4 linked regions of the Lepisosteus oculatus genome follow. The protein of the gene in region 2 purifies or fractionates together with the protein of the main gene of each other region. This does not show direct contact. Links are inferred from orthologs where the notes say so. Each region holds a gene or a part of one and is shown on either strand. Other genes may lie near its edges.

The links.
Region 1: the proteins of protein lin-28 homolog A (region 2) and dkc1 purify together in Homo sapiens (affinity purification with mass spectrometry; 3 studies listed by BioGRID and IntAct, with this or other methods). This does not show direct contact. The link is inferred for Lepisosteus oculatus from reciprocal best matches to the Homo sapiens genes LIN28A and DKC1.
Region 3: the proteins of protein lin-28 homolog A (region 2) and ltv1 purify together in Homo sapiens (affinity purification with mass spectrometry; 3 studies listed by BioGRID and IntAct, with this or other methods). This does not show direct contact. The link is inferred for Lepisosteus oculatus from reciprocal best matches to the Homo sapiens genes LIN28A and LTV1.
Region 4: the proteins of protein lin-28 homolog A (region 2) and ssb purify together in Homo sapiens (affinity purification with mass spectrometry; 3 studies listed by BioGRID and IntAct, with this or other methods). This does not show direct contact. The link is inferred for Lepisosteus oculatus from reciprocal best matches to the Homo sapiens genes LIN28A and SSB.

The regions. Positions count from the first base shown.
Region 1 is NC_090703.1:36,226,728-36,234,370, forward strand, and holds the start of dkc1 (H/ACA ribonucleoprotein complex subunit DKC1), read right to left. Parts: upstream 3,139-7,643; 5' UTR 3,104-3,138; coding exon 3,088-3,103; intron 1,974-3,087; coding exon 1,912-1,973; intron 1,776-1,911; coding exon 1,689-1,775; intron 1,624-1,688; exon of another isoform or gene 1,417-1,623; intron 907-1,416; coding exon 815-906; intron 521-814; exon of another isoform or gene 441-520; intron 309-440; coding exon 124-308; intron 7-123; coding exon 1-6.
Region 2 is NC_090706.1:5,681,446-5,688,977, forward strand, and holds the start of protein lin-28 homolog A, read left to right. Parts: upstream 1-4,472; 5' UTR 4,473-4,958; coding exon 4,959-4,974; intron 4,975-5,179; coding exon 5,180-5,239; intron 5,240-7,532. UniProt on the Homo sapiens protein: RNA-binding protein that inhibits processing of pre-let-7 miRNAs and regulates translation of mRNAs that control developmental timing, pluripotency and metabolism.
Region 3 is NC_090712.1:1,926,585-1,933,546, reverse strand, and holds the start of ltv1 (protein LTV1 homolog), read left to right. Parts: upstream 1-3,899; 5' UTR 3,900-4,172; coding exon 4,173-4,175; intron 4,176-4,418; coding exon 4,419-4,550; intron 4,551-5,144; coding exon 5,145-5,336; intron 5,337-5,660; coding exon 5,661-5,748; intron 5,749-6,209; coding exon 6,210-6,342; intron 6,343-6,962. UniProt on the Homo sapiens protein: Essential for ribosome biogenesis.
Region 4 is NC_090707.1:15,906,036-15,913,280, reverse strand, and holds the start of ssb (lupus La protein), read right to left. Parts: upstream 3,070-7,245; 5' UTR 3,010-3,069; coding exon 2,987-3,009; intron 2,258-2,986; coding exon 2,191-2,257; intron 2,062-2,190; coding exon 1,958-2,061; intron 1,101-1,957; coding exon 926-1,100; intron 839-925; coding exon 731-838; intron 648-730; coding exon 547-647; intron 43-546; coding exon 1-42. Other genes in the region: klhl23 (kelch-like protein 23), read right to left, coding at 6,166-6,476. UniProt on the Homo sapiens protein: Binds to the 3' poly(U) terminus of nascent RNA polymerase III transcripts, protecting them from exonuclease digestion and facilitating their folding and maturation.

The sequences.
Region 1 (7,643 bases), on a different chromosome or scaffold from region 2:
CTTTGCCTGAAAGCAATAGCAAAAGAGTAGTCAGGAGAAGCTGCTTTTTTTCCTGTGTCACTTACAAGTGACTATAATTCACGATTTTCAGAGACTGAAAGAAGACAAGAAATACCCACTCACCAGCGCTCTGCTGGGACTTCACCAGACGCGTGGCTCTGTCTACACACACTATGAGACAGCCTGTGACTTTAGGGTCCAGAGTGCCACTGTGGCCTGTTTTCTCCACACGAAGAATCCGACGGATCCACGCCACCACTTCGTGAGAGGATGGGTTGGCGGGTTTATCCAAGTTAATAAAACCGGTCCTACAGATTTTAAAATATTTCAGTATAACTTCTAAGAATAGGAGATCACTCAGTATTAACTCAGAAAAAACAAATGCATAACACAAGGCCTACTAAAGGAGTTGTAATGGTTGCCTTAACATTTCTCCCTGAAGCCATCAGTCATGGGTGATAGATAGACAGTCATCTTTGCACAGAGTGCTAATGCAATCTACATAAAAACATCATTTGGCTTCTTGGATGTCATCAATCTATGAAATTAAAGCATTCTCTCAGATCTTAGACAACTCTTAAAGTAGAAAATTCTAACAATGTAAATTTGTCTGGTGTAAGGTAATATCTTCCTGCTGTAAGCACTAAAATACCTAAAACAGATTAATAAATCTTTCAATGTTAAACAGACAACCTGTTTCACATTTCACACAGGACGAAGAGTTTAAGTGCATTTTTCAAGTTAAGACTTTGCCAGCATTAGTTTCAATTAGAAAACCAAGATCCCTAAAGATACAGCAAAAAAAAAATTGTACCTGACATAATCCTGAATATTTCTCTTCAAGGGATTTGAGCCACTTGGGAGAGGTGTATAATGTGCTGTCCTTATGTTCAGCTTATCAAAGTTCTACAAAAAAAACAAATGAAAAAGGAGATTTTACACAAATGTATTTAGCATACCACCTTTGTCACACCTACACCATCCATCCATAAAGTGTTACTTTTCAAAGTGTCACCCAATTCTTCATTTAATACTTAATGGAATGGAAGAGAGGAGAAAGTCAAGGTTTTTATATATTGCTTACTGTACACTTCCTGAAAAAAATCTTTAATGAGCAAAAAGGCACAAGGCCAGGTGAAATGGTATTTACATTAATGTGCTGTGCTGCCTTACTGGAACCCTCCAGCACCGCATATACAACACTGTGTATTTGTAGAACTGTGATCTGCACCTTCATTCAGGTACAGTGATAAGGGAAATAATTCTGTATAAATCTGTTACTTTTTGGATTGAGAAGCAGATGTCTTACATTGTGCATATCCCAACAAAGTGAGCTATATTGTCATGTGAGGCAAGTACTGATCATTGGATGTTCTTTGTGCAACAGGCTACTTAACCCCTCCCCATCGAACTTGTGCGATCAGACTGTTTACTCGTCTCTGCAGAGGCTGGTTCTGCCTCTTGCTCCAGCTCTCCAGACTCCTGCTCCGCCCCCAGCAGAACACTGGAATGGCCAAGCCGAGTCTGGGAGCCGAGACACTTAGGCCTAGAACAGGCCGAGAGTGTTGCAGAGACAGAGGCCAGCAGTGCTCAGAGAATGGATAAACAAGTTCATCATCTCACATACAACACTATACATGGGAGCTTCCTAGAAGGATGACAGGAACGTATAATAATTATCTAGTTACCTTCAACAATAAAGGCCACTGAGAGGTATCAAGTGTTGGAATTTTGGACTCCGGTTTGATGAGGAAATCACCCATCTCTTGAAGTTCCTAAAGCGGGGGGGAAAATCCATTTGATGTTATGAAAATTTTAAATTACAATGTAAGCAATTATAAAAACTTCAAAGTTTACTGCACCCAAAAAAGTTGCTAACATTCCAAAAAAGCCATGTTACATGGAACCTACCCCAACTTCATCATCGGCAACTTTTTTCTCCTTCTTCTTCTTGTGCTTCTTAGCTGAGGAAACTGAGAAAAGAGAAAAGAAGAAACCCAAGAGTTCAAACCGTGGAAATTAATCATTCTCAGTAAATAATCATGGACTGTTGCTGTAACATTAGCACATCACGTCTCTTGATATGAATAATCATATGAATTAAGGTTACTTTCCTATAATAACTCTTACATCTGTAAACTCTTCTGGAAAAAAACAACAGGCTTTCTACATATAATTATTAAACAAAATAAATTCTTGGAATAAGAAAATCATCATGTTTCCATCATCAATGACAATTAGGAAAAGTCAAGTCCCTAAAATATTCTAATTTAGCAACTCTTCAGAGCATTCATGATCATAATTCGCACATAATGTATCTTTATTTGATTAATAATAGACATGCGGGCTGCATTGGTTTAGGGAAAACTGTTCAATACAACCACGTGGCAGACTCTGAAAACACGTGGTGACTAGAAAAAGACCACATTTGGCGGTGTGCAAGGCATTAATTTTTAAATGGATAAAAAAAATACCATAAGCACAATTGACTCACTGAATTAAAACGTATAGAATAATCGTTTTTAGTAATATCGTGCAGCATTCAGCAATCTTAAAGCAAATGTTAACTTTCGCTTTTAACTTCAAAAACAAAATTACAAAATTACAAAAGCTTGCTACTTCATCGATGAAAGTGACTACATTGTGGATTATAAAAAAATATCGAATGCAAAAAAGCTAGGTACATCCTCTGCAACAGTGAAATTCATGTATCTCTTCCTACTGTAAAGTTTATATTCAAAAACACAGCATTTAATGCGTTTGTACCCTACATATTAAGATTCAAGATCGCAATTATTAAAATTAAGACGCCTTAAATAGTGATATACACGTTGTAAGAGCCGGATTGATCAAACTTAAGATGTAAAAATACAGGCAAGTTGATCATTTATCGTCTAGTTGCACACTTGCCCCATGCAGCACACACGAGGTGAGATTTATTTTCTCTACAAAAGATCCAGTCTTAAATCGGTCTCAAAGAGCTTGAATTACTTTGTCCTATGTATCTCAGTACAATTGACTACTACTATTTCCCCTCGAATTGCATATAAAAATAAAGAAAAACCCAAAATTATTTTCCATGCCTACCCTCTACGTCCGCCATCTTCACTCTCTCAATGTGGAAAGGAACACGTGTGGTGTTCACTGCGCATGTCCTTTCCCGAGTCTTAGACCCGTGAAACACCGCGAGAGTCTGTCCTACATGATGTCATTTCTATTGCCTAAACAAATATGGGAGTTATTAGTTCAGCTCCTCTGTCTAGTGCGAGCTAGTGTGAAGGTTACTTTAAGGATGGATTAGTTCTAGTGTAAGGACATATTAATCGTATCGACTTGAGTTATTTATATTATTATTGTTGTAAATTAGAACAATGGTTAATATTGCTGCATTGCGATGCTGAGATCCTGGGATCAATTTTTGGTTTGCTGCTTGCAAGGACTCTGCATGTTCCGCAGTATTTGTATGGGTTTCCTGTAGGTGCTCTGCTTTTGCCCCACAGTCCAAAGACATAATGGTAAATTCATTGGCTTCTGCAAATAGACCCTGGTATGACAATGTGCGTTTTTGGTGTCTGTGTGAAACCTGTGATGGACTGGTATCCAGGGTGCATCCCACATTTCGCCCAATGCTTCCTGGGATTGGCTTTAATTCATCATGTCCCTGAATTAGATAAGTGGCTTTTGAAAGTGATGTGATGTATCATTTTATTTATTAATCTAAAGTTATTGACATTCTTTTTATTAATCTAAAGTTATTGACATTCGTTTTCTGTCATGTTTAAACAGGAGCTCCATATTGAGAGGACCCTTTCTAAACAGGATTTTTCCATCTCCTAAATTTAGTTTGACTCCATGAAATGAAATTATACATGAAAGGGAGGATTCATGAATAATATCTGGATTATTGTTTGTAATTAGAAATTAGATTCAGTACATCAGGTTTTTCACTAATCCCATGATTGTATCATAAACAGACTCCTTGTAGAGCCTATTGTGATGAAGCAGCCATGCTGTTGTATTAATATCTTTTCACTGTTAAAAAATGTATTTCCCAACCCTTCAACCAAATGTATTACCAACATCTTAGTTTCTTAATTTGCTTTTAGGTTTTTGCAATAAATTGTGATGAAAGTAGTAGTAAGACTAGGACTCGGGGTGTTTAGACAAAGGCTGATAGTGTCCCCTTGGGATATAGGCAGAATATGAATTAGAAAGAAAATAAAGAATCTATTGGCAAAAGGGGTGATTGAATAGAGGTACGTAATAAGCCTTAAAAAAACATGATTCCCTACAAAAAGTACGCACAGGGATGTAGCCTTTCAAAGAGCTCTATTGATGGGGTTACTGGCAGTAATGACAAGAGCACTTTCCTCTGGCTAGAGCCAGACCTAAAAATTTATTTTATGTCCCAAAAAGAAAACCACCTCTCGCACCGTCTCTCAAAATCACATCTTAAAATGTACTATTGAATTAATGCATTTTCTTTTAATTGCGCAACTTTCTATTTCTATTGTATTTAAGGGAAGATGTTGCATAACAGATGGTGTCAGGGTGCCCTTTTTACAACGCAAACACAAAACAAGTTCTATCTTCAGAATAATGAAGCTGATTTCTGCCAGTTATTATTAGCTTGGGCTAGGTTAAGTGGCTGGTTTCTTCGCCAGGGCTTCATTCTTTGTTTCCAGTATTAAGAAGAACAACACTATAACATGTATTAAGCAATAATTATATGTGGGCTCCAGAGTTGCTCAATATGTGAAGATGCTTGCTTGAGGACTGGCACTGGCACTGTGTGTTCCAAGCCCGGGTTAGGTCACTGTGACTGTGATGGGATTTCTCAAGTGGTTGACACATAATTGACTAAGCACAGCACAGGGTAGGGTTGGCATTAGTTAGCAAGGGCGCTTTTAGATCCCAACAAAACAGCAATTACTGCAAGCCTGCACCAGGACTGGCAAAGGAACTGCCTCTCCTTCAATTGGAGAAGTGCCTCCTGTGGCGAGCTGCGTGACCTGAGATGTATTAACAGATCAATGACTCAAAGGTGGGGAGGCCAGACACATCTGTCTGCACTTCCTTGTTGTCACTATGTGTTGGTACAAGATATGCACCTGTGAGCCGAGACATGAAAACACACAATTGCCAATTCCAAATTGAGTAGGTTTATTACCAAATAATTATTTGGAAGAAAGGTGTTAAAAATAATTATATTCTACTATCAAAATTGTAGGGATTTTTGATGATTCTTCATATCTTTTTTTTTTGTCTTCATGTGTCATGCATTTTGGTAGTTAACACACAGTGAAAAGGTGCAAACTTTTGCTATATACTTGGCAATTTAGCCTCCAGTGACCTCAGGAGTTGGGCCACTCACTTCACACTTAGTACTGAAAGAGGTAGCAGCCCACGGCCACTCCAAGGCTGTTTAGTTCTGCCCACCAACAAGCAGGATTTAGACCAGATTAACAAAACTCTAGGGCAATCAATGTAAAGTTTAATATAATTACAATATACAATATAGAGTGATCAGGACTTATGCATCCAGCCAAAGTATTTGATCTCGTGTCTAGAGTATGCAGGGTCTCATTCATAAGAGTTTTCTCTGGTTTTACCAGCTGCCTTTTGTTGTCTACGCTATATTTTGCCCTTAGGGTTAACTCCCTTTGGCTATATCTGAATAGCCCCAGTTATATAGATATAGTTCGGTACAAGAAAAGCTGTCCACATTTTCTATGTTCATGTGCTGTTTGGGGGAGTTTTAGCGTAGTGGGTAAGTCTCTGGACTCACTTTGGGTTGTGGGTGCAATTCCCTTCTGCAGACTTTACCCCACTTGCTGCAGTCCATCGGGGACCATCAGTTATTGGGTGGTAACCCCAGTGATGAACCAGAGTCCTGTCCTGAGGGGAGAGTGGCATAATGTCTGCTTAACACCAAAGGAACCATGATAGGCTCTGGTGTATTAAGCCAGTGTGGTTCAGATTTTAAGGCAAAAAGTTTAACATAAAATAAATAATATAGTACTGTATATTCAGGTAAATTATATCTAATATGGTACAGCAGTACCCACTTATTCCATATACACTTTGAAGTGAGGGGCCTATTTTTACTATTGCTTCAGCAATAAACTGATCCCAGTCCACGACAAGATCACTTGGAAAGGGTACTTAAAAGTAACTTTTTTTTCAATTTGGGCTTAATTTGGAGACTTACTGTATGAAAAGATGTTGTATTCCATCATAAATAAAATGCAAAGAAGAGAAGATAAAAGTGGCAATTCCAACAACCAGACGTAATCTTCTAATCTTGGTATATCGTTGTGTATTAGTATTGTCACCATTTTATCTTATTATAAACATGCACATTGAAAGCATTTTATATACATATACATATGAAACCAAAATCAAATAACAAAGACCACATAAGAAACAGCTGTCATGTTCAGTGGCCTTTTTAAAATCAGTTGTAAAGGCCTTGCCATTGCAATAGCTTTGTGACTTAACTTTTCAATTTTTGAAACATACTAGACTCTATAAAGTCCTAGAAGACCAACTAAAAAAACAGGAGAGCCCTATCTAGTCATCATTATTGTTATAAAAGCACTGATGAGAAAACATCATTTTAAATAAACATCAAGACAAGGTATCCACTGATACAGGGATTTTCTAAATCAATATTTCTTATTAAGAATTCAGAAACAATGAAATACTAATATTATTCTTTTTTGACCTAGTGATCACTGGATTCAAATAGCCTCTTAAATTTATGGTTAATAATGTTCCCCATTTCTCACACTTCAGACTGGCAACTGAATGTATGGTACTGCTAATCAGCTAGAGGTTTTTATACGTAAAACACTATTTTGTTTAATGAAAGATGTGGTTATCAGAATTTACTCTACTCAATAGCTTCCCAAGTCCAGGCATATAAAACAAAATTAGCAATTTTACTAACAATACTTCTTGCTATTGAACTATAAAAAGAATTGGAATAGACCGTTTACACTGGCTGGATATGAAACAAACAATTACTTTACAGAATAATTTTAAAGGCCAGTGGTACTGTATCTCAATGTGTTATACCCTCTCATTTAGAATGGCTTTGAGAATTTTGTTGCACAGAATGCTATGTGCTACTGTATATAGTTATATTTGTAAAAGGTCATCTTAGAAGATGCAACTAAAAAAGCATGGTGAAAGACACTTGGATGAAAAATTAAATATAAGAAAAGGCTTTAATAAGGTTCTATTCTCTGGACTTTAATATCAACAGTTATCAATTTTAAATTCAGTTTAATCATGCAAGTTAATTTTCCCCATTAAAACTGTCTGATATATACCATTTCAACGTAAAAGAGAGAAAAGTTTTTTTTAAAAAGTGGAAAATTCGTAAATGTTTAATGTGGCTTTTTATTTTAAAATTTGAGCTTTAACACAGTTGATAAGAAATAAGAGACAGAATACAACCTTTAAACGAGTTATTCCAATAGCTCTTAAAAGCAACTGAGATTGCATTTCAGATGATTAAAATGTAATACTGTATATACAGAAAAACACAAGATTCCTTGATTCTTCACAGACTTGAAAGTGCCATTTCACCGAGTTTTGCTGAGACAATATGCCAAAATCACTTCAATTGTACTGGA
Region 2 (7,532 bases):
TTATGGAAACAACCTGAAAGGGCAGATTAAAATTTCCATCTTGTACCTTAAATGGGCGGTAAATGGTCAGTGTTAATAGTATGCATATTCATAACATTATACACTCCCCAGTAGAGCACCTCGCAGTCTTAGTGAACCTTTTTCTCTCCATTTGCGACGAGTTTGTCCGTTTGTGTCTACGTGGGATTCGTGTAGCAGTCGAGGAGGAGAGAAAAATAACCTCAGCAAAGATGTTTCGTATGATCTGATAGCTAAATTTCCTCCAGTAAATTTGATTTCAGTTTCACTTTCTGACATTAAGAACATCAACAGATCGAAGATATTCGGAAAATCGGAGAACAGTGACTGTATTTGGCGTCAAGAAATAATCTACCTTCTAACCACGAGAGGGAGCGCTAGACCTTCCGACGGTTTCCGGCCGCGGACCGATCGAAAACAAAAAATATCCTGAATTTGGGTGCTGTGGTACAGTTACTGTACGTGAACGCCGCTAAATAATTAGGCTAGCCTTTTTAGTTTAGGGCTTTCTTTTAGAGGCCGCTTTGAAGTTCGTGACTGCAATGTGAATACATTAGCTTCTCTTCAACAGTAACTCAACAGAACATGTTGTTGGAATGGAGCGGAAGTTAAACTTGGTCCTTAGTTTTAATTCAGCAGACGATTTTCTTTAATCAGATAATAATTATTCATCTGTTTGTAAAACATGAAACTACCAATATATCTTAACTACTGTACGTTGTTGCAATTTGTTGTAGTTTTATTTGACCTCCTTAATTTTATTTCCTCTATGTGCTTGAAATCTGGCATTTTCCAATGGCAACTAGCTCATCCCATGTGAGGAATGTTTTTTTTTCCACAGCAATGGGATTCATTTAATTTTTTATTTTAACTTAATAGCAGAACGTCCTAAAGGTGGTTTATTATTAGCACATAACACCTACTGAATGCAATCAAGTACTGAAAAGGAAAAGACTTAAATCTACGTGTCCCTGGGGACCAATGGAGGCAGAGTTGTTCACTGCTGAACAGACTGAAATAGCCCTTATACAGTACTTCTGTAACATGAGAGTGTTGTTTTATAAGTTGACGGAGATTTAAGTGCAGCTGCAGAGAGAAAACATTCGATGTTGGTTCTGTGGGGAGGATGGGCAACGTCGGGCTGGTTGAAAATGAGGCAGAGCAAGCAGTCCGCTGCCCTGTTATCAGACAGAGGCCATATGTATTCAGAGCTCCAAAACCATCCAAACCTCATCGGGCATGGCGGTCTTCTTAACGGTACGGGGGCTGCATGGGTTGTGTTGATCACGTCGAGCGCAGGATGCTCCCAAGAGAAGGAGAAATCTCAAGAGAGGGGGAAAAACTACGGCTGGGACATGCAAAGTCAGCCTCCCTCAGGTCCTGGACACGCACTGATCTGGCTCATGCCAGGAAGGTCAGGCTGCTCTTCTCTCCCTGCTTCCCTGCTTCCCAGTGCTGTCCAATGTTCTGAAGCCGCCTGTCACATTGATTCAGTTCCCTTCTTGCACTGCGCACGAGGAGTGGTGAGGGGGGATTTTGCCAGTAAGTAAGCAATTGTCTTTTTTCCTGCTAGCTGCCGGAAACACGAGCTGGGGGGGGATTGTAAGGTTCTCAAAAGATTAACTGCCTTCCCTGCTGAGACTGCCTTTTTTTTTTTTTGCTCCTTTTCGTACGAGAGAAAATAAACATTGCGTGGCACTTCAGCTACAGCTGTTTTCAGGTTTCATTGCTGGCAGGGCCAGGGTCGTACACCTCTGTTATCGATCGCGTTTCTCTTCTCCCCCAAACGGTTAGTCACTTAGCAGCATTATGAATGGGACCGGATTTGTTTTTGCATTGATCTGCCAACCAATCCAACAGCCAATCAATCCAGAGAGACGTTGCCTGGAAATGGCAGGAATGATTAAGATCAGGTTAGGCATGCTGCTCTTTGTCAGATCGCGGAAAGGACTGGGAAAACCTTAAGAAAAATAAATGGCGACAAAAATTGCTGGCGTATTGCTGTTCTGGCCTATCTAGGGGTGTTTGTGATTGGATTGCTATAAATCCATCCAAGCCACTATCCTCTGTCCCTTATTGACTCCTGTGAGTCAGTGACATTTTAAAAATCCTGCATGGTAGGCGTTTCTGATCTAGAAAGCAAGGATTTTAAAGCCTGGAGGGGTCTGTGGAAGAAGAATCAGATTTGTATTCGAATTTTCAGATTCAAAGAGCTTTATTGGCATAACAGATTGATTACAATGTTAGGAAAGCAGCTATTATACCATCGTTTACAGTCATTGACAATACAAACATATCATTGCACATTTACTTACATCCCCTAAACATTATTGTGAGACTGGATCACCCTCTGCCCCTCCGGCTGGGGCAGGAGATCGCGAACTGGCCCGTTAGCTCTGTTGGATTTCCTGCCCTTTGCCCCCAGAAGATCGGAAGCTGATCGGATTCAGGCAGGTGTGGGAATTCTGGGATCATCGCATAATAGTGTGAGACAAGAAGAGCGCTTTTAAATGAGAGAATTGATCGGGGCCCCATATCAGTGTATTGATTATTTACTGGTGTTCAGGGGTGGGAGGGCTTGAATTTGACAGGCTGTTATTCGTGGACGCAGGGCTGTTATCTGTTCTGGCCAGTGTGCTTGCCGGAAAGGGAGGGCTGCCCCTTTACATCGATTGCATAGGGAAAGCTGTTATGTTGTGTGAAATTGTGCAATGTAAGCAGACAACAGCACTCTTTAGCACTTCCTCCTGGCTTTTTTATTCCGATCTGCAGTGACCTGGACCTAAGCCATGCTTCCACACATTACCTGATGGCCACTTCATCATGTAAGACATGGTCATGACAATGTAATGCTATAATGACAGGTAAGCCTGGTCAGATCAGATTCACAGTGTGAGGGCATGGGCATACACATTGCTACTTTTCATACTTTTGTAGGGGGGTCAAACATTTCCCTTTGTTTCTGGCAATTTGTGTGAATCGGAATGACCACAATCATTAAATGTTGCTCAAACATTTTAAAAGCAGAGAAACATTTATTCAGACCTGTGTACAAGGAAATTCTTTACCGATCACCAACGATGGGCTTATATTTTTCTTATTGTTTAAGTAAAGAGAAACTCCCATTTGTCCTTTGTTAGCTTTTAGTGAAAGCTTGGTCAGCAAAAAATATACATGTGGGTTGTGACTGTTAGTACAAGGAAGGATCTACAGTTAAAGTACCTGTGACTGAAGAGTGCCCAGTTTCTTTCAACAGGCTGTTAAAGTCCTTTAGAGGTAGCTCTGATTAGACACCTAGGGAGACGTTCTCCTGAGCTGTAATATCTGAATCCTCGTTCATTGAAAGTGTAGGTCTTTTCTGAGCACGCGCTGCATTGTTTCCAAGCATCTCTATGTGACAAAGGTCAGGCAAAGGTCACTTCCTCTTTCTATAGGCAAAGAAGGACCATGAGTTGTCATGGAAACTGTTCTAAGCCTGCCATTTGTACAAAAGTGTATTAGTCCTATTTATCTCCCACAGGCAGAAAGAAGCCAGAAAGAATCTGTATGTTATATTAAATTTAAAATATTTTAACCCTTTAAAAATATAAGTAAAACAAACAAATGTAGAAAGAATTTCAGTGGTAGCATAATGCACATTTTAGTATCAAACTTCAATCTAAGTTTTGTTAGTGGATTTAAATGCTTTTAACACATGACTTAAAAAAAAAACCTTCGACAATGTGAACGCTTGGTCCATTGACAAAATAATGCAGGTTAACAGATTGTCTCATCTGGTTCTGGATGTCTGTCGGAATTGTCTTTGTGACTTTGTGACAAGCAATAGCTTGATTGAATGCTTAATAAAGATGCCTAGACAGTATCCCTGTATGCAATGTACGCCAAAAAATATATAATTATATATATTATTATATATAATATAATTAAGCCTCTTCCATTTCTTTCCCCCCTCCAACTTGAAAAAAAAAAACTAATTTTCGGTCAGCGTCGGTGATTGAAAAGAAAGAACCTTTTTTGCAGGGCGAGGAAGCCCAGTGTTTTCCCTACAGTAATATATTTGAAACAGCGTAATATTCTTTAATAAGAAAAACAGATTTGGGCAGACGGCTACCATCGGGCATGTATCCCCCGCGACATCGCGGGCTCTTTGGTTCACGACCAGCAGCTGTGACACAGGTACAGCGGGGCTGACAGAAACGCCACTGCTAGCTCACCAGTGGTTTCGGATTTGCGGAAAGCTTACAACTTTCCTGGTGAAAATGTGACTCACGCCTGACTAACACAGCCCTGCGGGTTTCCCTAACAATCGTCTCCTTATGCCTCAACAGGTGAGTTGCAGCTCAGCCGACGACCGCAAGCCCTCTCCGAGGTGACGCATCGCCAGCATCTTAAATTTTCCTCCAAAGCAGATGCGGCTTAATTGTCCTTGATTGTCTGAGGGGCTGGCGGTTCTACCTTTGGCACAATGGGGGGTGAAGACGCCATCTGCAAACTCACACTTTGAGGTTTTACATTAATTAGTCATTAAAAGCGGAGGCGTACAGCGGCAGCACGGGGTTAACGAATATCTCGGTGTATTATTGTAACATCAAATTTAAATCTGCCTGTCGTCTAGCTCGCCTTCTGCAGGTATAAAAGACGGCAGCGAGAGACACGAGATCAAGAGAGGGAAGAAGACGGTTCTTCGGACTGGGGGGGAGCGACCGAATTACTTACTGGATTAGCTCTGTAATATTGGACAAGCAATTGCGTTTCCCTTTATATTGGTTTTACATATATTGAAAAACATTCTATTTTCTGTTTTCCCCGCAATGAAAACATCTGAAACTGTAGATTGCGTTTGTCACTGTGGAATAACCTGATCTTTGCGGTCCAGTCCCTTAAGAATCTTCATTTTGAGGCTCTGGTCTAGGTCTCCCGATATATTTTATCTTGCAGCTATGGGCCTGTGCTTTGGTGAGTACGTGCATCGCATATCTGTCTAATCAATCATCTATCTAGCTTAACTGGACTGCCAAGTTAGCTACAGGATGGATGCTAACTACGACAACAGAGAGTGGTTTTCTCATTACTCCTCTCGGCTAGCTGTCTAAAAGAAGCGCACAGGCACACAAAGGTGGATCGTTTAATCTATGTTGGCGTTTTTTTTTTTTGGTTACAGGTTCGCATTCTCGGGGTTTAATGACTCCTGCCCAGGTGTGGCGCTACTACACCGGCTCAGGTCAGTTTCTTAAAGCCGCGTTTCTTTTATCGTGCGAAACACGCACGCGATCAGCGAGGATCTCGAGCGGCGCGTCACCACGACAGCACGCTCGCGTGCGCTGGGAGTCAAAATGCCTTCGCGTGCCACGGCTAGGAGCACCAACATGCGGACGTGTGTTTCTAGGGATACGAGAATTATTCACATGCCCTCTCAACAGTCATGAAAAAAAAAACATCTTTCCCAACTTTGATCCACCTTGCATAGCATACTGTACTTAGGCAATTTAACTTTTTTTACACAAAACAGCCCTAAGTAAAATATTTATTCGATTGCGAAAACCAAAAGACCAAAAGCAATTCTGAGTGAAGAGTTAGACGTTTTGATCAGCTTTCGAAGTCATACAAATTAGGATGATTTGGCCTTCTGGGAACGAAAGCGTAATTTTAAGTGTTTCATTTAGAAAGCTTCCTATTAAAGTATTGTCTGCAAGGCTGAATCACGAAGAGGAGAACAATTGATAGCGCCGCTCGTTTTCCTTCGCGCAACAGATATGGATTATGGCACTCAAGAGAGTTTGAAGAAAAGTTAGAAATATGTGTAAATATCGAAAACGTAATTCCGTGCCGCTCAAATTGCTGGAGACGTATGTGTGATGATTCTGTTGGCTTGAGATGAGGCGGTTTAGGAAGACGAAATTTGCTCACAGGGCTGTCTGCTCTTCTACTTTCGCCTACTTAACATTGTACTTACAATGGCTATAGTAAATACGTACATTTTTTACAAAACGAAATGTGCTAAACTAATAATTTCCCAAGACACGACAGAATTAATTAGATTTTGCTTGATAGGCTATTTCTATATTTTTAGATTCGTTTTGTCTAACTTACGTTTTTGCACATATACATTAAATTTGAAATACCTAAAATGTATTCAAAATAGCTGACGTTTTACTAATATTTAACTCTTTAACGATTCGATTTTACAGCGCGTTTCGGTATAATTTTATTTATAAAATATAATACAAAGGATATTTTATATTTTCCATAGTATCGATCATTTTAAAGTAATGTAAAAAAAATCTTACTTTGGGGCTACGTGGTGATTGTCATTCGTTACTGATGTGTGTGTGAAGTGCCTGAATGCTCTTTTTCGGATGTTTGGATTTTTCAATAAATCAATGTATTGATTTCTTCACTGCACTGTTGTAAACATTTGACCATGAACATTTCTTCTGCTGTTTATCGTGCAATCATTATTTCGTATTTTTGATAGATTTGTCTGTAAACGACAACATCAAATAGTTTATTTCGTTTTGGACATAAAACTAGTTTGGATATTGATTTGTGTTTCCTTTTCCCCTTAATTACCATCTAGACCCGAATTAAAAAAGGATCGCATGTCAAAATCAATTGATACGAAGAAGAACATTTTGGCAAACAAATTATTATTCGTGCCAGGTTTTGATTTATTGGCGGCTCCTTCTGAAACCGCATATTTTACGTGGGGCTAAAAACAATGAATTCAATTTCTTGGGTTGTGATATATTAACTAACGCTTTTATTGTCCCTCATTTTCCAGTTTAAAGCAAAGTTGCATCCTATTTCATTTTTTGTCAACCACAAATATAATATTTTTCATACGATGCGGTAGTCCATTAATGACTTATCAGTTAACTTGTGGTTCTTTCATATCATTGGATATTCACTCAAAATGTTGTCAAATTTAAAAACGTGAGAACTGTGTCCCAATAGAAAAAGCAGTTTTGAGTGAAGAGTACCCCTTTTTGTAATGTAATGTTACGCCATTGACTGGTTTTAAAATGGCAGTGGTAACTGCTACAGCGTATATTGCTGCAGATTTGAGATATAGCTAGTTGCATGATAATTAAAGCCGATAATTAATTTAGAACATGTATGTTCTAAAGTAGCCGATGAAAAATAAACGTAACAACCACTGCAGCAGCCAGACGCGATGGAGGTAATCTTCCGTATTTAATATAATGGTGGAGCACACTGCGGTGGCTGTTTTGCAATAACCTGATGGTTACAGAAAATCAAAGGAAGGATATATTGATTTCCTAGTGGCAAGGCTTAATACTAATCCATAATACTTCAGTACATGGGGTACTTTTGTTTAAAATGTTAAGTTCGGAACGGTCCCCTTTTTTTTATTCAGATACATCAGATTTGGTCAAATAAAAACCACTATTAATCCGCTTTTTCCCGTGAAATCAGACGATTTTTTCCCACTATGTTCGATTCTCAAAGCTCCTATGTCATATCGGTAAAATATGTACATGAATATTTATTTT
Region 3 (6,962 bases), on a different chromosome or scaffold from region 2:
CCTTGGCGGTCAGGTTTATTTTTTTAATGCTCTGATTTTTTTTTAATGTTGCCCTGATGGAGTTTTAATGACATCAACTGAGGCCTAGGTGATATTTTAGAAACTGTAAATGTAATTTATGAACGTAATTATTTTTAAATTCTATGTGTCCTGTACAGAATGTATATAAACTTCATTAAATTCTCATTTACCTTCGAAGGGAGTGTACTTGTAAACAATTATTATATTATGTGAAAAATCATCGAGTATTTTTTAAAACCTACATTGTTACAGTATATAGTGAAAACATTTAAAAACACAATTGCATATATTACTTTGTATATAACACTGTATTTATTTCTGTGCCAGCTACATTGCAGTGGAGCAGCTCTTGAGCTCTGATAAACAGGAGTTCTTTGATGGACGTGACATAGTTTCAAAGCCTTTCTCCAAACAGTCGGCAGCCTCAATTCACTTGAAGTGTGAATGTGGAGTTTCTGTGAAGAGATTTCAGAGGGCTCTGTTTTATTTACTTCATGTTGTGAAGAGGCATCAAAAGTATCATGCAGACATAAAATATGAAGTGTCCCACATTCCAGAACTACACATCTTAAATATTTTGCATGTAGCTGATGTTGAAGAGGGAACTGGATTGTGTTGGAATGACTTCTTCATCTCGTGCAGAATGCCCTTTGTTAAAAGCCGCTTAACATTGATTTGTGTAAATTCACTGCAAAACATTAAGGACACTTTGTATGTTAAACTTTGCTGCCATTCCACGCTCTGGGCTGTCCACGTATTGTAAAGTGTGTTTGAGTTGCCAATTGTAAACCTTTTTTGTAGAATTTGAGGCACAGCTGTGGTTGTAGGATGTTTTACTGAAGCATCAACGGACTGTGTCCACTGCACAGTGTAGTATGAAACTACCAAATGTACAATAAAAGGGTTTTACTGTAACTTTTGTGTGTCAAAGCTGTGTGTGGGTATTGCTTCTTACCTTAAGCTTGTTTAATTTTCTTTAGAGGGTGGTATTTAAGTAATGTAGTAGAAAATTGTTGTCCTTTGTTAAACAACATCCTATGATTATATACAGTATTGTAGTACAGGGGTGGACAACTGGTTCGAGAGGGTTGCGGTACTGTTCGAATAACAGGTCTTTCACACTTGGAAGCTCGGTAATCCCTAACAATCAACTGATTTAACTTCCATTGGTACAATATGAGGAAGGCACTCATCCCTGGGACCACAGGGCCCAAGTAGCACAGGTTCTCTGGATGGAATCCAGAGATCCAGAAATGATCTCAGGACCCAGGCGCTGTGAGGCCGCAGTGCTCCAGCATGCCACCTGGAGCTCCCCTGTGACTGGCATTGTTCACTGGTCAGGCACATCTCTTCCCACAGGGTCCCTCAGTACTGTACATCCAGGAGCTGTCACCCACTGTGTCCCCTAGGTGCTGCTCCAGCTGCTCATTGCATCGGGGTAAGGCAGAGAATTACTAAACCAATGGAGCTACAGGGTGCGAGTCTCAAGAAACCTGAACTGAAATTTAGACAGGAGGTTTTAACCTCTACCATATGATATATAGAAATGCTCAGCTTTAGACCTCTATTAGGACCCTGTTCTGGGAACTCTCACACCTGATGGTTCTAGTTTCCACCAAGCTCTTTGCTTCATTGAACTAATGAGTTGGTTAATAAGCACTTTTCTCAATACTTTTTTATGCTCAAGCTGCAGATCTTAAGATAAAGTATATCCAAAACACAGGAGGTTAAAAAGCAATGCCCAGCTGTTTTAGGATAGAGTTCAAGTGAATCCTACTCCCAGCTTGACTGGTTCCTCTGAGTTTTTGGTTCCTCTCCTCCGTTGTCTTCTGGTCTTTTCTGTTCTGTATTGACTACACGTACGGTCACTTGCATTGTAAAGCGCCTTGGGGCAAACTTTTTGTGAAAGGCGCTATAGAAAAATAAATTGAATTGAATATTAACGTTTCTACATTTCAAAACACGTTTTTCCATTAGTAGGAAACATTTAACTGTTCAGTTTTTGAAGATGGGTCTTTATCTTAGGCCAGAAGAGGGCACTCTAACTGTTTCTACCATGTCCGGCATAACTATGGATATAAACAGACATTGACTGTCCGATCACTTCAACAGGTAACCAAATAACTGTGCTCTTAGACCAACATATCTCTTCCATTATTTCAACATCGTGATACACTAACTGCCACAAAGCATTGTTAGGTGAGGAAAGGTAATGAGCACAGGATATTAACAGTAGTACATGTATGACGAGAGGCTATAGGTTATCCGTAATGTCTACAACTAAATGGCATTTCACAGGAATGACGAAGTCATGCATATTCCAGTATTCCAGGCATATCGGTCATGTTATGAGAAATACGATTAGCCTCCAACATTGGAAAATAGCATTATGATATACTAGAAAACAGATGTGATTTATTTTTTGCCAGCAGCCATATCATGCTGTAACACACAATGTATATCCACTGAAGCTCAGCAGGTGTGAGCCTGGTCAGTACCTGGATAGGAGACCTCCTGGGAAAAACTATGGTTGTGGCTGAAATTGGTGTGAGTGGGACAAGTTGGGGGCGCTCATCCTGTGGTCTGTATGGGTCTGATGCCCCAGTATAGTCACAGGGACACTATATATCCAAGGGCGTTTCTCGAATAGAGTAGGGGTGTTACCTCGGCGTCCTGGCCAAATTCCCCCCCGGACTTTACCAATCACGGCCTGCTAATAATCCCTGTCTCTGAACTGGCTTCATCACTCTGTTCTCCTCCCCACTGAGAGCTGGTGTGCAGGGAGTGTACTGGCGCACTGTGGCTGCCGTCACATCATCCAGGTGGGGCTGCACACTGGTGGTGGTGGAGGGGATCTCCATTACCTGTAAAGCGCTTTGAGTGGAGTGTCCAGAAAAGCACTATATAACTCTTAGGAACTATGATGACATCTATGGGAAGTGTAGTCAGTCTCATTATCACCATCATCGTCATTATTATTATTATTATTATTATGATCTCAAAATCATTTGATAAAATCGCCTTTTCTGTTCATTTTACATAGCCTGTATAAACCGTCACTACAGGTCGTTTCAGGAAGGAAAATTCAGAAAATTGCAAAAAATCCTGTTTCAGTACCCTGTGCGTAAACTGTCGTACAGTATTATCACTTGGAATACTTATTTAGCTTTTTTGAATGTTTAGCGCTAACGAAAAATAGTTAATCCTCCCCGAAAGTCTGCTTTATATCTTTTATTTCACAAATATCCCTATCGCGTATCCAAAAAAAAATAATTCTGAGAAGGATGCAACCTAATGGATATTTACTCTAGATATCAGGATGAGCCCTTATTGTTCCCCTCGACACTTGAACAGTTCTGTGCTATAAAGGAAAACAAGTTTCAGTGGGCCAGTAAGTAGCAGTTCCTTCGGCCGCACTATTTTCAGGAGTAGGATTGTCAATCCCAGTGTCCTGGATAAATTCTAGTTCATATATTGAATTTATTTGCTCTGTAGTGGGACTCTCCCCTGCGTAAAACACTCTGGGATACTATGGAAAGAATGATTAAACACTATATAGTTGTAAGAAATTAATATTTCTTTTGAAAAAACTCGAATCTCTCTTATAGCCTATTTTTTTTTTCAGTGTATGCATAGTTGGTATCTGTTGCATTTGTCACGTGTAATCCTGTTTTGTACATTTCACCGAAACCCCGTCAACTTGGATTGCATGAATTTGATTAATATGTCTTGGCAAGTGTTCATCCGAAGGTCTATTTTCGATTACTTTCGTCTGATGGAAAGTACCAAGTGAAGAAAACATTCTTTTTCGAATATTTATATTATTTTATTTTGAGACGCCACAAAAATGTCCTATTTGAGTGTCTTGCTTTATTGTTATGGCAACATTTAAGATGAAGGCATAATGGCTCATTTAAAACGCCTATGGGGACACCGCAGCTACACGAATGAGATGGTCTTTTCCGTAATGGCGCTGGTAGCGTGTTCCAAGCTGGGGTGCAAGCGTGGTTTATACGCGTTTTAGAGTAAACGAAATTAATTAGGAAGGTGTCTGTTGTCATTTCAGATTAAGTTACCTGCGAGTCAGAAGATACATCCACTTCTACCGTAGTTGCATCTCTCTGGAATAATTACAGAACTTCAGCAAAGGCATGGTATGAATCTTTACCAATTACGCTTTTAACATTTGTTTTCAGTTTCTCTGCTTGTGTTGTGTTCGTTGTGTTGAATTTATCTTAACTGGGTTTAATGACCTTTGCTGCCCAAGACATTCCACTTTGGGTTAAACATTCAAATAAAATAAAACAGATAATTCTGAATTTCATTATGTGAGGTATGAAATCCATTTCTAATGTGTTTTAATAAACTGGGGACGTCGTACGTATTTATTTTGAAAGCCTCACAAGAAGAAGAAGCCTTTCATTGAGAAGAAGAAAGCAGTGACCTTTCACCTGGTGCACAGGAGCCAGCGAGACCCCCTTGCCGCGGATGAGAAGGCACCCCAACATGTGCTGTTACCTGCCTGCAAGGTGAGCCTGTCACTCGTCTTCTGCATTTCCTGCTTTGTTCCATTTCATTTATACGCCATCAAAAAGAACTGCCAAGGAGGAGTTAAAAGTTAATGTACTAAATTATTTATTGATTGATTGATTGATAGATACGTTATTGATCCCGTGAGGGAAATTGCAGAAATTCCTAATGCAAGAAATTGTATGGGGCTAATAAAGTGATGTTATGTTTTTTTTTAATGTACTAAATGCATTAACAGAACGCTTATCAAAACTTTACCAGAGGTAAAGACAGCTCTACTGTCTCACATATCTTCAGCCCTACTGTGTGTAATAACAACAGCCAGTTTTGCACAACTTCAGTCCTTAAAAGAGGGAGAACAGGCTTCACCAAGTCACTGCTTTGAGCTCCCTGTGTTCTCGCATTTAACCGAACTTAAGTAGCAAAGAAACTGTAGCAAACAAAAAGATCTGCAAACGACAATAGCAACTGTGCCACAACTTTCTCGTTTTTGAACAAATTATTGCTTGCATTTTAGCTAATGCTGTGTTTTTGTATTCGAGAGATCAGTGTGTAAAAGGAGGTGATTCACGGAAGATCTTTTCTTTTTCCAGGCAGATGCAGAGAAAAGGAAGGAGGAGCAGAGGGAGTATGGGGTGTTTTTTGATGACGATTATGACTACCTGCAGCACCTCAAAGAGCCCTCCGCCTCCACAGAGCTGGTCTCCTCCAGCAGACCGCACACAGACGGGCGGCTGCTCGTCACTGAAGGCGGCCCCGTGCAAGAGGAGGTCGAAACCATCCCTGTAAGGCCCTGTAACACACTGCTACAGACCAGCTATCTAATCAGTGCTGATGCTGCAGTGAAAGCATTCGTTTAGTCTTTTTATTTTTTTAGGTGTCATATGTTTTTCTAGTAAGAAAAACTATCAAGGTAAACGTCCAAAAGTGCTTCCTGCAATAATATAATTTTTCTATCAATCAAAAGTACAATGAGCCACCTGGTCTCAGAAGAGTATATGAGGAACCCGTAGCTACAGCCAGGGCTCAAGGATGGCACACGTATTTCACACCTGAAAGGAGAAATCTTCCCTTTTATAACCTTCAAACTCCTGGGTGTCTTTTCGCAGGCCGTTTCCATCAACCTGCCTTCCTCTGTGTTTGCCTCGGAGTTCGAGGAGGAGGTGGGACTGCTCAATAAAGCGGCACCAGTTACAGGTACGGCGCTGTGGCGAGGGAGCTGTGAGCGATGGGAGTGCAGTTAGAGCTGGTTTTTCACGGTGTGACCTGACACTGGCGGAAGGAAGGATACGGGGCGTGGAAATGATCCATAAACGGATCGAGTATGGCAGGAGCCAGTACTAGCTTGCTGGGAAAAAAGGGAGCACTTTTAGTTCTGACGTAGGAACCTTTGGAAATCATTAAATATCCAGCTACAGATGGAACTAAATTAACTGGAGATTAACTAGTTAGAAGATCGGTATTACAGCAATCATAAATCGGATAAATCCACTCAATACCACTCAATGCTCCCTGCGGTATAGCTGTAGAGGGCTGTAGTGGCTTCTCTAGAAGATGTCTTTCTGTATAGACTTCATCGCCTCCACCCCTGGTGCAGTGCAGACTAGTGTGTCGTAGTGGCGTCTGCACGGCATTCACCCTGTGCTTCTGTCTCCAAGGCCCTCGGCTGGACATGGATCCTGACATCGTGGCGGCTCTTGACGAGGACTTCAACTTTGACGATCCGGATAACATCCTGGAGGACGACTTTGTCCTGAAGGCGAACCAGCCTGGGGGGGACGCCGACTTGGGGTATGTCTGTTGCTCACTTATCGCTCTCTGTGTCGACCTACAAACCGCGGAGCTTGATCCCACCCTCCTCTGTATATCTTCCCTGTCTGCCCGTGTCAGCGTGGAGGAACGTAAGAGCACTAGAAGGGCCCTTCCTTTGCTAGTAGCTTTTTGACTCAACGATCGATCTCATCCAGCCATTTCTTGGAAGAAGCCATGGCATTGGTTTCAACACTGCTGAAAAGTTTGTTTCCAAAAACTGCCTCCTGTTCTCAGTTTCGAAGGCACTTATCAGTAGTTTCCATGCTTCTCTGTTATCTGGTTCTCTGTTGGTTCTGAATAAGTTAAGGGATCCCAGCCTTTTCCAGCAAGTGACTGGCAGTAATGGGGTCCCTGTCAGGAGCAGCGCAGTTCTAGGTGTTGATGGTGGTTTTGCGCCCCTCAGCCCCATGCAGTGCCCCATGGGAATGGAGCTGATGTCCCACATTGGGTCCTGACCTGTGCAGGCTGCCGTCTTTCAAAAGTCACGCTTTTCAAGACTGAGACAGAAGCTGCGTCTTTCGTTCGGAACTCTGCTACAGGACGGAAAGCCTGACGGAACTGCAGGGCGATACAGGACATCCAAACACAGTTGCTGCGAC
Region 4 (7,245 bases), on a different chromosome or scaffold from region 2:
AGCTGCTTTCTTTCTTCATTTTTCTTTGTAAAGTAATCCTCCCTAAAATAAATATGTTCTTAGAAAGTACTATTGTTTAACATTTCAGCTGTTCTTGACATACTTGTTGAGATGGTAAACTTCCACCCTCAAACTACTGCTGAAAAGATCCACCAGATCTTTCAATAAATAGCTAATCTAAGGATGTTATTAAGCCACCATGAATCAAATTAGCTAGGTTACAGAGAAGGAAGCCCTTTCGCCCTACTGACATGCATGGTCAGAAAGCTACAAAAATAACTTTACTCAAGAACACATTCTAGACGGACATGCAGGGCACACACACAATTTAAGTTACCAATTAAGTCAGCCAGCAGATCTTTGAAAGGTTGGAGGAAATAAAGAGAATGATTAACACGAATATACCAAGCCAAAACTGCATGCTAGAAAAGATGTTGCTGTACTCAGAGCCCATATATGTATGTAAAAACTATGAAAATGGACAATTGTGCACTTAAAATGCACTAATTAATACAATTTCACCACAGATCAGCAAAATATACCTACTTTAAAAGCACAATCATTTCATTGTCTTTGTATTTCAAATCTGGCATCTCAACAAACTTCTTAGCAGATTCATCCGTGTCAAAAACGATGAATACTGATCCCTATAAAAAGGCACAAAGAAAAAAGGTTAAAGACAAGAAAGACATAGAATATGAAATAATTTTTAAAAAGTCAGATATCCAACCTTGAACTGCTTTTGTGCATTCTTCCTCATTTGAATATTTTCAATATTTCCTTTGCCTTCTAGCCATTCCTTCACATCATCAAGACTTGAGTCTGTGGGAAAACCTTTCTGGGGAAAAAGAAGGAAATAAAGTCAGTGCAAATGATAAAAGAAATTCTACTTGAAGTATAAGAATCCAATGAAGGCCTTACTTACAATGTAGACTGATCTGTGTTTAACTGCATCTTTGTACTCGTCGTTAGCTTCGGGCAGAGGCTTATCTGGGGATCTTCTTATCTTTGACTTATCTTCACTGATTTCTATAAGCCCAGTTTTGGATTTTCTCAGTGAATCAGTAATCACATTGAAGTCTTTGGTTAAACGGCTCAGCCTACAGCAAGAAACAATCCAATCAGGATTCATTCCAGACAGACAATATCAGAATATTTAAGGAACACCTTTCAACGTTGTGATGTTTAAGAGCAAGTAAAATTCACTTTGAATTATGAAATATATAAACATTAGCTGCTGCAGTAGCAACACTAAAGACCTAATTCTACTTCACCTATTTTAGTTCAAATAGACAGTTGTTTCACCCTAAAAAGAACCAGCAATGCTATATACTCAGCCAGTAGAACAGGGTTATATAGCAAATATTAATACATCCCCATGAGTCACAGCAACTCCTTCTTGCTCTTAAACGTAACCCCTAAAGGGATTCCATTTAAGAATATATAAGGTTAAACACATTGCTATAGAACCCAGATCAGCCCTCATATGGGTCAATAACCATTTATAATTGTTTACTTCGATTTCATGCACATGACTTTAACACCCATAACAATTATTTATTTTATTAACCAGGTACAATACTGTCAAATATACGTGGCCACTTGAGTAGTATTAAATATTCTATGTATACTCCATTTAATAGACTTCAAAATAATGACGGTCGGTTTCAATAATCGCCGTTTTTAGTTTTTCTGCCAGCAGGTGGCGCAATTGACGCTGCCTTATACTCAAGCAAGTAAATATCAGGTCCAATACTAACACTAGACTGCATCTTGTGGTGTAGTGGGTTAATAAAGCATATCAGTGCGTTTACAGCAACATAAACAGATACTGCCCCTGAATAGACCGACTTTTTTTTTTTTTAAAAGCAGCACGTACACTGTAGTACATTTTACAAAGACAAGCACCAGATAGAACTGGGTTTGCGTGTTAGCACTGCTGTCAAACACTACATACCTGTTAAATTTGATCATGGTTTCAAGCGGCACCCATCCATCATCTAGCTGTATCTGCTCTTTGAGGAACTTGTCTCTTGGAAGATTATGGTCACCGAAATAGTACTGTTAAGGCAAAGAAATCCCACTCCTTTGGTAAAGCTGCACAGTATCATTGTGATTAACATTACATTGAGGGGCAATATATTGTTGCAACTCTCCTAAAAGATCATTAAAAGAAATCCTTAAATTTACCTCAATCTGTTCGGCAACTCTCTTCTCAAGGGTCGTCATTTCTTGGTTGGTATCTGCCATGTTTAATCTGAAAGGCACAATTTCTTAAAACATTAACACCCTGATGCATGCATGCATTTTTCACCTAACTGGTAATTTCAGATGTTTGCCCTGGGCGAACGCAGTCTTGCGCCCGTTTCTCGCCGGCTCCGGCTCCCTTGTACTGTATGTGATAAAGCGGTCAGAAATGGAAAGATGCAGATTTTCTTGAGGCTACAGGAATCTACTCCAGACAAAAATATCCCGTAGCATAATGGAGGGTCTCACTGAATTCATGAAGCGAGCATTCTCTAAATGTAGTATTGTACATATAATTACATCACAAATCGTAAACACGCGAAACAATCCAAGAGCAATTTTCCTTTTAAAAATTGATAAAACAATTCTGGGCTATGTTAAAACTTTATTCAACACAATTGCAAAGCAAAGTGGCGATACATTTCCTCCATTTCAGCCTAACGACCCGATTTAATACATCCAAAAGCGTTCTTCAGAGAGTTGAGAAAGCAGTTAACAGAAAATCGAGGCTTCCACACCGCCCATCTCCCCCTGCCGGAACATGAGGTCTCCACGTTTTTTTGTTTCGTCACAAAAAAAATCTGCATTGAAACCAGCATGTTTCACCACCCAACCAAAATTAAGCGACTTCATGCAAATTTAAAATTTACCGTTTAGGTTTGTGCCGTACTTGGACTTAACGCGTCCAATCCATAAGTATTCCGAGATGGACAAAATGACATTTAAAGCAGTTTCGTACCGGTATTTTCTCAGAAGCCTCATACGAACTTTACGTGGGAAGTTCGATTAGAAAAGAACACGCTGCACCCCGCAACACAGAAGCATTCATAGTTCTGAAGAACACAAACCAACATGTACATGAAGGAAAAAATAAGCCACAAAACTAACCTTATCCCTCTTTCCCCCAAATAACCGACGGCCCGTAGCTACCTGCTCTTGTAATAAGCTCTTATAGCACGCACTCTTATCCCAGAAACCACTGCGCTTCTACGGGGCGTGGGATGGCCCAAACGCTCTCACGTCCTACGAACGTCGAAATTGCTTCTGTTAGATCGCGTGTGCAGCAACCGAAAAGGGTGGTGTTTTTGGTCCTACGAAGACGATTGACCTATCCGAACAAACCATTCTCTATTACACAGAACGTGTAAAGCTTTGTAAAAATATATTAGAACAGATCGTGAAATCGCTATAGCCCGTGCTTGCTGTTTTCAGGAATAATAATATTATGATAAATCTGGAATGTGGTTAAATGGATTGTCTGTTAACAGCAGACTGTAAACGATATAATCACAGTTTATACACAGCCACGTAAATGATAACATGGCTAGTAATTGTTAATAATAACAGTTTATTCCTTATTACAAAATGCTGTGTGTTAACCAAAATTCATGAATTTCAAAATACCAAAAAACAAATATTACAAAAGCATTCAAACACATAGACAATTCAGTAGATTTCTGCTGAGGAATTTACAGTACACATTTTCGGTGTTCAATAGAAGTTGCTTGCATTTACATAATGATTTCTATCTGAAAAGATACCAAAGAGCTTTATATATAGGTGGGGGCCGCATTTCTCCAATGAATTCCAACATCCAGTCTCGGTCTTGCTTAGTTGCTGGGAGGAGGCTAGAAGGTGGCAGTGTTGTATGTTAGCTGAAATGAAATCATTCACCGCAAAAAAAAAATTCCAACAAATTCGGTTTAGTAAAAAAAAAATGACAAAGTAAATATCAAAATGGTAAACGTATCTCTAAAAGGTAATAACAAAACATAAACATTTCATGTGCAAATCAAGCGTTCTTGCAAACTGCTCTAAAACGTACCCAAACATTAGTCAAAGTGGTTATGGACGTGTAGACAAGACACAGAATGGGTTGTATGCAGTGCGGTTTTCCTGACCTTCTAATACTCTTGCTCTACCATATTTTTGTGCTTCTTGAAAAATCGTGTCTGAAACAAAACATAATTTATTTAAAAGAACTAAAAAAACATTCACCAATACACACAATGCTTTTAAAACATCATATTCTTCATAAATAATGCAAATACATTAGTAAACAAAATGAACAGATTTCCCCAAAAAATTATCCTTTGAGGAAATTCAACGGTGTTGAAATAAGAATCCTTTATTTTCTATAATTCCTTTTTCTAAAATCAAAGATATATACAGTAGTACAAAACACTGTAGCAACAATTTAATCAAAGTTTAAAAAACGTTTGCTGTACTAGATCATTGGAATACTGCAGCTGGTTATATGTCTAAAAAACTAGACTCATACATTAGAAAAATTCCTCTAGGCTTTTACTTGCTTTTGTGCTTTTTCTAGGTATTATGTCCACGTGCTATTCACAGATTGCTGAGCTCTTTCTGCTGTCAATAATGAGCCTTTTTTTTAATACCTAGAGGCAAAGGTGAACTCAAGCCAAAATGAACCAAAAGGTAATAATTCTGTTCACGATACAGAAGGGGAAGTGAAACATTTTTCTTCAGAGAACATAAAATGGCAGTTACTGTGATCCAAAGAGTTCATAAATAACAGAACGTAATTCTGTATTTCCAGAGCAATGGATAAAGGTACTTCATAATATTAGCCCAAATGTCCTTGAACACCAGTTACAGTAAAATAATACTCAGACGTCTGATCAACACATTTATCTCATCTGTATATACAGTATACTATATACACTAAGGATTGCACTAACTATACTTTTCAGGTGTTCATAGGGTAAATATAGATTCCTAAACTCTCTCTGGTGTCAGTGATAGGTGTTTTTAATAGCTATATAAGATCCTCAGACCTAACAGCAACTAAACGAGCTTGACTGGCCTCTTCTCATTTGTAACCATTATTATGTTCTTATCTACTGTATCTTATGATCTGTTCATTTTAAACAGTATCATTCTATTGGAAATACTCATTGTTATAACCCTATAATACTTTATTGCATCATAAAATAGTCTAATGTAAAATTTTAAATGAGAAATATTATGGTCTCTGTTAGGAAAAAAGCTCTTTTAACCCACCACATTAGCATAATAAACATGACCTTTTTTTCATTAAAATGTCTTGTGTTGGCTATGCTGCACATTTTTTAAGACCTCTTACTTGTCTTATTTCTTTTAGGCAATCTGAGGAAACATTTGCATACATTTTTCATCCCTAATGTAATTTTCCTTTTTGAGCTCTTAAAATCTTATTTCCTAAAATAACTTCCTTGGAAACATTTAAAAATTCTGACTCCTAGTGTGTAGCACTTTGATCCATGTCATGTTTTGCCACTTGCAGACATCTCTGTACAGTACAATACGCACAGCAGTCTGTGAAACCTGAAGTGGATCAGATCACTGCTCAAGGGTACACCTTTTTTGCTTCGCTAAAAAAAACAACAAAATCCATCATATTGATTGTCTGCTTTTTAAATCGAAGGGCTGCTGTTCTATCTTACAAAAGGCTGGGCACTCCTTAGAGAGAATAGCTTTTCAGATTTCTCCTGCTGACTCACAAACGCATGTGCTGCCTCAGATATCGTACATCAGCGCATGGAGTGATGGATGCTGCTGGTGTCATGTATGTTGGAAAGGACAAACTGTACCGAGACGGGGGTTAGCCCTGGCTCAGCTGTTCAGGAATTGCCATATAGAAACCTATGCCCTCAGGCCAAGGACAGGAGTGACCTGGTGCTAAGCGGGTTTCAGGGCATCTGAACCTCAGTGCTGAGCAAAGTAAAATGAAAGACCCAGAAATATATAGCCCCAGAGAGCGAGAAACACCGGAAGGACAGCAAAGCACCGGAAACAAGAGACAGGCCAGAGAAGGAGCGCCCTCTGGCTGCAGAGGGCGTGACAGCTGGTACTTCACCTTTGCCCTTTCTCAAATGGACGAGCCACTGCAGTCCAGATGCAATGAAGGCAGATCTACACACTGTAAACACAGACACAGCCATGCGATCGCATAGCACTGGGGAGGCTGCCAGCTATTTCCCACTTGTCCTGCTCGGGGTCGTACTTCTCTATGCTCTGAAGGTAAGTTCCTTTGGAGTAGGAGTATCCTCCTGTGACGTAAATACAGCCGTGCATGACGACAGCCCCACACTCCATTCTTCTCTCCTTCATCGCAGACATCTGCCTCCATTGGTCCTTTTCCGGGTCATAGCAGTCGGTGATGGTGGTCTGTCCACCAACCAGGTACAGCTTGTCGCTCAGAGCCACAGAACACAGGCCGTACTCTAGGGAGGTAACGAAAATGAAAGTAAGGGACTTTTCTGATTTTTACAAACTAGAAACAGCGTATAACTAGACAACCTTCATGTAACTGTTAAGAATGCTTCTGGTACTCCGGATGTGGTTGTGTTTTTGAGTAGGTGATCAGGGGTTGAACGGTAATTACATGCAAAATGACACTTTTAGTGAATATCACGACAGGAGTTTAGTTTTATTACTGTGTCAATGTTTTCACAGCCCTTCTGCATGGAATACCTTGAAAATGACTGAACAGTATGAGCGTGCTTTGAAAGAAGACCCTTCATTGTTTTGTGTAATTTTTTCCTTTTTTTCCAATTTTTTCCTTTTTTTAAAATTGTATAATGTTAGCATGCCCAAAGAGGTTGGGCAGCCAGTTGACCTTGGACCCCTAGAGGGTTTTTTTCTCCTTACTAAGATGTTTTTGGTTCCTCTCCTCCATTGTCTTCTGGTCTTTTCTGTTCTGTATTCACAACACGTATGGTCACTTGCTTTGTCAAGCACCTTGGGGGCAACCTTGTTGTGAAAGGCACTATATAAAAATAATTTGAATTGAATTGAATAATCCCAAAAGCCTTGATTTACAGCCCCCACCTCCACACTAGAATACACCTTGGAGTGTCTGCTGTGCTTCTCAATCCTTCTCTTGTTAGTCCAGTGCTTTCTGTAGAGCAGACTACATGGAAATGAGTGTGCCTTCAGGTTAATATCAGACCTTGTCTGAAAGGTCACAGGCCTCGTGAGCCCATGTGATCC